Cricetulus griseus: one gene and its partner. The protein of the gene in region 2 purifies or fractionates together with the protein of the main gene of each other region. This does not show direct contact. Links are inferred from orthologs where the notes say so. Each region holds a gene or a part of one and is shown on either strand. Other genes may lie near its edges.

Region 1 (3,506 bases), on a different chromosome or scaffold from region 2:
CATGTCCCCCAACATACAACCAGAAACTTACTTAAAAAATCTTGACAAGGCCTGAGAGATGACCCTGAAAGTGAAGGAACTGTGTGTTCAATCCCTGAGTTCAACCCCTGGAAACCACTGTGGTAGTTAGCTTTTTGTCAATTTGACAAAACCTAGAGTCATTTGAAGAGGGAAGGGACCTTGATTGACGAACTGCCTCTAACAGATTAGTGTGTGGACATGTGTCTGGGGGCATTTTCTTGACTATTGAATGATGCATTATACCTGGGCAGGTAGTCCTGGATGGTGTAAAAAAGAAGGCTGAGCAAGTAATGGGAGCAAGCCACTAAGTAGTGCTCCTCCATGCATCTGCCGCCACTCCTGCCTTGAGTTCCTCCCTGGGTTCCTTCAATGATGGACTGTGACCTGTCAGTCAAACACACCCTTTTCTTCCCTAGCTGCTTTTGGTCATGGTGTTTATCACAGCCACAGGAAAACTATTTAGGATGCCCACATAAGGGAAGAAAGAGAGACTCAAATCCACAAAGTTGTTCTCTGACCTGCACATGTTCCATGGCATGTATGGTCCCACCCCTACAAACAATTTAAAAAAAAAAAAAAAAAAAGAGGTTTTTTTCTGTTTTGTTTTTGTTTTTTGGCAACTTGATTGTGTTAATTTCGAGGATGGGTTTTGTGGACAACATTTTATCACATTGTCAAATGTTGAGCACACCTGTACAAGGGATGCAGGAGATGTGACCATGGTCCCAGCAAAGGGACAGCCAAGGTGAAAGCTGAGTCCTGGAGGGAGAATTAGCAGGTAGCAGGAGTGATTCCAATAGAGGGACAGGGACATCAGGGAGACAGGAAGGGCTCCAGGTACAGACCTGCTTAGCCACAAGGGCCTGGACCACACTGAGGAACAGCAGCATGGAGGGGCAGCCCCAATCCTGAACCCTGAGAAAGCAGAGTGTGTTCCTGGGGCAACATGGGAAATCAGGGATTTGAGCAGCTGATAAGAAGGACTGCCATATTTGGATAAGCAACTCACAAAGGCTTTGTGCCAGCCTGTGGAGCAGCCAGAAGGCTCCTTTCTGTTCTTTTGTCTTTAATTGGAACCCAGAGACTTGTGCTTCCTAAGAGAGGTAGACTACAGCCATGGAGGCACTAGTGAGAGGCAGCAGAACCTTTAAAGAGTGGGACCTAGTTGGAGATGTAGGTCAAGGGTAGAATACTTGAGCAGCATGCATGAGAGACATGAATTTAATTCCAAGGACTGAAAAACAACACAGCTGGAGCCTAGTGGGGGATCTCTGTATCATTGGGAGCATGTCTTCCTTTTTTTTCTTTTTTTCCGAAACAGGGTTTCTCTGTGGCTTTGGAGGCTGTCCTGGAACTAGCTCTTGTAGACCAGGCTGGTCTCAAACTCAAAGAGATACCCCTGCCTCTGCCTCTCGAGTGCTGTGACTAAAGGCATGCACCACCACCGCCCGGCGGGAGCATGTTTTCAAAGGAGATAGTAGGAAGCCATCTCTCCCTTTGTCTGGGTTCCAAGCCATGAATCATGTACATGCAGCCTTGCTTCATCACCTAATTATTGTCACGAAGCACACTGCCTCACCACAGACCCATGAGAAACACAGCGGAATTAACGTGTGAGCATGCATGTGAGAAACACACACACACACACACACACACACACACAGAGAGGGGGGGGGTTGGAGAATTCCAGCACTCAGGAGGTTGAGGCCGGAGGACTGTCGAGAATTCCAGGCTAGCCTGGGCTACCTGTAGAGACTATACCTTAAAAGTAGATAAATAGATGATGGATACAGACAGATGAGAGAGATGGACAGATGGATAGGTTGGGATTGCTAGGTAGGTAAATGTTAGAAGACAGACAGACAGACAGACAGACAAGAAAGAATTAAACAAAGAACAGGCTTGGACTTCTGTATAGCAGTAAACACAAATGACTGCAGATGAAAATACTAGGACACATACTGGCCTTCAGTGCTGAGCCCAAGACCTCCTTAGGCACATGGTTCTTACACCAGTAACCAATCTGATTTCAGCAGGGATGATTCAACAGTCTCCAAGAAGTGTCACCCTCCCCCCAGAGGACCTATCACAAATGGTGTCCCCTCTCACATACAGAACTCCTCCAGGCTGACTTCCTCCACAGCATGGATGCCTGTCAGGTGGGTGACACGGCCCTGAACCCTAGTCCGCTTGTCCCCAGTGGTCTTCTCCACACGTTCAATCATCTGCTGTTGGCGGTCGATCCAGTAGAGGTGCCTGCCCAGCACCGTCAGACCCACTGGCTGCACGATGTTGGCATCTTCCAGGGTCAGGCGGTTGGCCCCTATGGGTAGCACAAAGACTTCATGAGTGGCAGCTGAGCCAGACCCACGGGGCTCAGGAGAATGGAGATTTAAAGAAAGGGCCAGGAGGGAGACTAGGGTTTTTCTGTGATTTCCAGAGCTGGGAGCTGGGGCAGAGACCATGGAAGCAGACTGCTCCCACAAGGGCTGGCCTTGGGTTCAAGTCATACCACATGGTCACTGTCTTCTGTAAACATGGTGCTTCCTGTCCCCATCCATTGTGTGTGTGTGTTGGGGGGGCAGTGTGTGGAGGAGGTATCTTTATACATGTGTGTATGCATGTGAGGCCAGAAGTCTCAATCATTTCTACATCTCATTTATCTTTTTAAGGTTTTTATTTATTTGTTTATTGAGACAAGGCCACTGTATATAGACCTTGCTATCCTGAAGTTCTTCGTGTAGACCAGCCTGGCCTCAAATTCACAGAGATCCACCTGCCTCTGTCTCTCAAATGCTGTGATTAAAGGTGTGCATCACTGCACACAGCTTTTTAAAAAATAACTTATTCTTATGTGCATTTGTGTTTTGTCTGTATGTATGTCTGTGTGAGGGTGTCAGATCTTTGAGTTACAGACAGTTATGAGCTGTCACATGGGTGCTGGGAATAGAATCGGGTCCTCTAGAAGAACAGTCGGTTCTCTTAACTACTGAGCCACCTCCAGCCCTACATCCACAGCATTTTTAAATATTTATTTGTTTTTACTTCGTGCATATGGGTGCTTTGCCCGCATGTATGTTTGTATGACAGAAGCCTACAGTGTCCAAAGGAGGCCAGAAGAAAGCACTAGATCTCCTAGACCTGGAGTTACAGATGGTTGTGTCAGGTCAATGTAGAGAACTAAACTCAGATCCTCTGCAAGACGAGCCAGTGCTCTTAATCACTGAGCCATCTCTCCAGCCACCTTATTTTTTATTACATTTACGTGTGTATGTGTATATTTGGGAGCAGGGATACATGTCACTGAGGACAACATGTAGGTGGAGTCAGGTCTCAACTTCACCATGTGGGTTCTGAGGACCAAACTCTTGTCAACAGGCTTGGTGGCAAGGGCCTTTATTCACGGAGTCATCTGGCTGGTTCTCCACCTTATTATTTGAGACAGGAGCTCTTACTGAAACTAGAGCTCACTAATTTGGCTAGAC
Region 2 (4,006 bases):
GGACACAGCAGTTGCACCCGCTGCGCGCGGTAGCGGTCCGGGATGCAGCGGAAGTCGGGTCCGTTTGGGCGCCACCACTTCACGCGGCCGATGGCGTTAGGCAGCAGGCGCGCGGGGCCACACTGGCCCGAACACACCAGCTCGGTGACCGGCTTGGCGCTGCGACACGGCCCGTCCGTCACGAAGCGGGTGTAGTGCAGCTCGCGGCAGCTGTATTCGGACACGTCTGCGGAGAGAGCGAAGCGTAAGGGCGGCAGCCTAGCCCAGGCTGGCCTGCTCCCGCTATTTTCTCCCTGCTTTTTCCAAACCTGCTGCTCTCCAGGCGCTTTCTCAGCCATGCATGGCTTATAGGAAGGAAGCACCAGGTACTTTTGGAGCTTGCAGGGGAAGATCTCTCCCTGGCTGCTCACTGTCCTTAGAAGCCAGTGATCAAACACCAGAGCTCGGCCATTTACTTTCTATGTGGTCGGTGGGCAAGCAACTTAACGTCTCTCTTCCCCACATCTGTAAAACAGGTTGCCCCAGGATTCAATGGCTTCATCCACTACATGCGCATTATACCGGGCGCTACATGGCACAGTCAGAGCTGGCAGTATGTTCTTGTTTGGGGACTGGGTCTTATGTAGCCCAGGCTGGCCTGAAATGAGCTGTGTACTTGAGGATGATCTTGAGTGTCTGAGCTCCCATCTTCACCTCTCCGGTGGTGGTATACAGGCGTGGATCACCCACTGTCTGGCTTATGAGGTACTAGGGATCCGGCCCTGAGCTTCGCGCATAATAGCCAAGCAATCTTCTAGAAATTTAGCTCCTTATCCCCAGCCCTGCCTAGCAGCCGCTAGCCAGCTAGGGCTGACTCTGGTCCCTTCTAAATTTTTTACCAGTCACTGGAGCAGGGACGGGGGCTCAGGAGATGGAGAAACTAGTGGAGGTTAATTGAAGGTAATAAATCAGGACAGCTGCTGTAGAGAAGCGGGTAGAAGGGCGGGTGGCAGGGATAAGAATTCATTAGACTTGAAAGCAACCAAAGGCGGCGTTTGCAACCCCCTCATTATCACAGGTCCAGGCTGAGAAAAGAACTTGCCCCAAAGGCAGGACTGGGTTGCCTGACACCCCTGCCTAGGATGCCAGCACCTTCTGGCTCCTTCAAGGGTGAAAGTGATTTGTTAGAGGATCCCAGGTTGGGGAGGGGTTGGGGTGGGGGGGAGAGGGCTGCTCACTCTTCGCTAGCTACTTCCTTAGCAGAGGGAGTCAGAGTTCTGGCCCCCAGCCCTACAGCTTCTACCCCCATAAGCATTTGTTTAGCACCTGCTGCATACCAGGCTCTCGTGTTCTGTGTGCCTTGAACAATAGCTCATGGTGATGCAAGCCTGCCTTCTGTGGAAGAGGCTGGGTCCCATGCCTGGCCTCATCTCATGCACACACCCAGGCTATGTCTCCCACCATGGGCTTAGGTGGGTGGACAGGAGCTTTTAAGCTAGATAATTCATATGTGAGTCCTGTCTACCCCCAAAAGTTTCACAGAATGAGCCCTAATATGGCATGAAAAGATTTAAAAAAAAAAAAAAAAGTTCCAGAACCAAAACCAGAGAGAAGCAGAGGCCAGCAACCACCTCCACCCCAGAGAGCAGGCACAGCTGCGGAAGTGTTACCCTTCTGTGGCTGGCTCTTTGGTTTCTGGGCTGATTTGACTTCCTCACCCCTGTAGAGGTGGTATGTGGAGGCGAGTCGATTTGCCCAGGGAAGGATAAGTTTGGGGGTTTTCCAAGAATAGTGTCCTTAGGTCAGGCACTTCCTCTGCAAAACGTGACCACATTGCACGCTCCTCTGCTCCTGCTTCTCCAGGGTAGCGCTTTCCCCATTCTCCTCACTGGCCAGGAGACAGGAGAGACAGGAGAGACAAAGCTGGGCCAGGGTGCAAGCAGAGGGCAGATGGTGCCACCTGTGCCCATATGGGGGGACGCTACACTCATCTGCCAGTCATGTCACTGGCTAAAACTGTACCTAAAAGCCTGTTCTCTGATGCTAACCCACTGCGCCCAACAGGGGGAACTGAGTGGGGGTTCTTTCCGGCTTCAGGTTCCAATCCAAACCCAATCTAGGGTTGTGTTGCAACTGGATCAAACCAGCTTCCAGTCTCAGCTCTTTTACCCCTTCTCCAAGGTGGCTTTATCTCAGGAGCCTCAATCTATCCACCTTCAAGCTAGGATTACCTTATGGGGTGGCCATACAGTACAGCCACAGCATCCATCAAGGTGCTTACCAGCCTTACCTTGTCACCTTCCCACTGGTCCAGCCAGATCTAGGAGATTCTTTGAACCATCCTACAAGCCCTTGCCTAAGTTAATGCCAGCTTCGGCTGATCTCGGCCTGACCCCTGTCTTGGGTGCTCAGCCAGCCCCCCTCCCCAAGCCTGTCCTCAGACTCTAATGCTGTGCTAGCATTCTTCCAGGCAAGCTTGTCCCTCCCCTGGTGTGGCAGAGGCTAACTATCCGCCCAATCTCCAAGGCCTCCAAAGAGCAGATTCTAAAACTACCCCCATTACCTCCCGGGCCCCCATGCTAACAACTTGTCTTCTCCATCCCATACCTTTGGTGTCATAGGGATGGTGGGGAGGTCTCCCTCCATTCTCTGCCCGGTTCATGGTCTGGTTGTTCTCCAGCTCCTGGGGAGGCTCAGGGTACTCTCTGAGCCCAGGGATGATTTCGGTGGCATCATTCTTGAAGGCTTGCCACCCTTGACCCTCCACAGCACGGAAGGCTGCATGTACAAGCAGGAAGACAAGACACAGGGCTAGCGAGAGCTGCATGGTGCCAGATGGAGGAAGGCACTCAGTAGCACAGGCTCCAGTCCCCAGCCTAGATACAGTCGCCTTTTAAAACCCCCTCTGCCTCATGCCAGCCAATAAGGATGGACTAGAACAGGGCTGTTCCCAAGTTTCCTCACCCCCCCTCCTCAGGGGAAAGGGGTGTGCTCAGAGCAAGCCCTCCCCAAGACTTCTTAAGCTCAGCAAACTTCCAAATTGCTGCTGGCACTCCCAGGTGACCCAAGTGGGAGGGGGTGCGGTGAGGCAAGGACAGAGCCAACTCTCCCAGCACCTCCCACGTTCTGACGGCTGTGGTTTTCAGATATCAAAATGAGCTTGGCTTTTAATTGTCTGGCTCCCTGGGCCCCTCAGGCATTCTCAAAACAAACTGTGGGCCAGCTTAACAAAGGAAACATGTGGAGTTCTACAGAAGGCAGAGTCCAGCTGACCAAATTCCTCTAGCCAAGTTCCTTTGTCACCCCACCAGCTAATGGTCTTAATTAAAGGTGTCTGTTGCACCCCACTACCCACCCACAAGCAGAAGGATGCCTTTTTTATTTGGGGGAATCCAACCTAAGAGTCTCATGCTTGCTATGCAAGCACTCTTCTACACGGGTGCTTTTAAAGAAATCCCATTGGCCTCAAGTTCATATGGCTCAGCACTGAAGATTCCGAGCAAAAGTCCCTTGGCTTTCTCCTTAAAACCAGGGAGAAGTAGAGAGTCCAGAGCCACCGGTGAGAAGGTGGGATTCTGGCAACAGGTGGAGGGTAAGCACAGCTCTTGGAGATGGAGCACAAAGAGGAAATCTCTTCTACCCTTTGGGACCTGGGATCCATCACAGGTGATGCTTAGCCAGGGAACTTGATGTGGCTTATAGACTGGTGTGCCAAAGGCAGTTCCTTCCCTGGCCAGGCCTGGGGCAGGCAACACAGAATCCTATTTCTTAGCAAAAGCCAAGGCCAGTGCTTTTAGTGGTGACATTTCTCAGTTAGTGCCGCCATTTCTCAGAGTATTACACTTGCTGTGTACATGTGTGCATGGTATATGTGTGAGAGGGTACATGTATGTGTGGGTGCATACAGACCAGGGGAGGTGTGTGCTCCTCTGTCACTCTCCAGGTTATTCCCTGAGACAGGATCTCTTCCTGAGACATTCAGGTTAGGCTGGCTAGTGGCCTCCCGTGATCCACCTGCCTCTGCCCC

What was found.
Region 1: the proteins of Sost (region 2) and Lrp5 purify together in Homo sapiens (affinity purification with mass spectrometry; 3 studies listed by BioGRID and IntAct, counting the BioPlex papers as one, with this or other methods). This does not show direct contact. The link is inferred for Cricetulus griseus from reciprocal best matches to the Homo sapiens genes SOST and LRP5.

Annotation. Positions count from the first base shown.
Region 1 is NC_048596.1:55,635,663-55,639,168, reverse strand, and holds part of Lrp5 (low-density lipoprotein receptor-related protein 5), read right to left. Parts: intron 2,345-3,506; coding exon 2,135-2,344; intron 1-2,134. UniProt on the Homo sapiens protein: Acts as a coreceptor with members of the frizzled family of seven-transmembrane spanning receptors to transduce signal by Wnt proteins.
Region 2 is NC_048600.1:116,129,629-116,133,634, reverse strand, and holds the start of Sost (sclerostin), read right to left. Parts: upstream 2,807-4,006; coding exon 2,587-2,806; intron 227-2,586; coding exon 1-226. UniProt on the Homo sapiens protein: Negative regulator of bone growth that acts through inhibition of Wnt signaling and bone formation.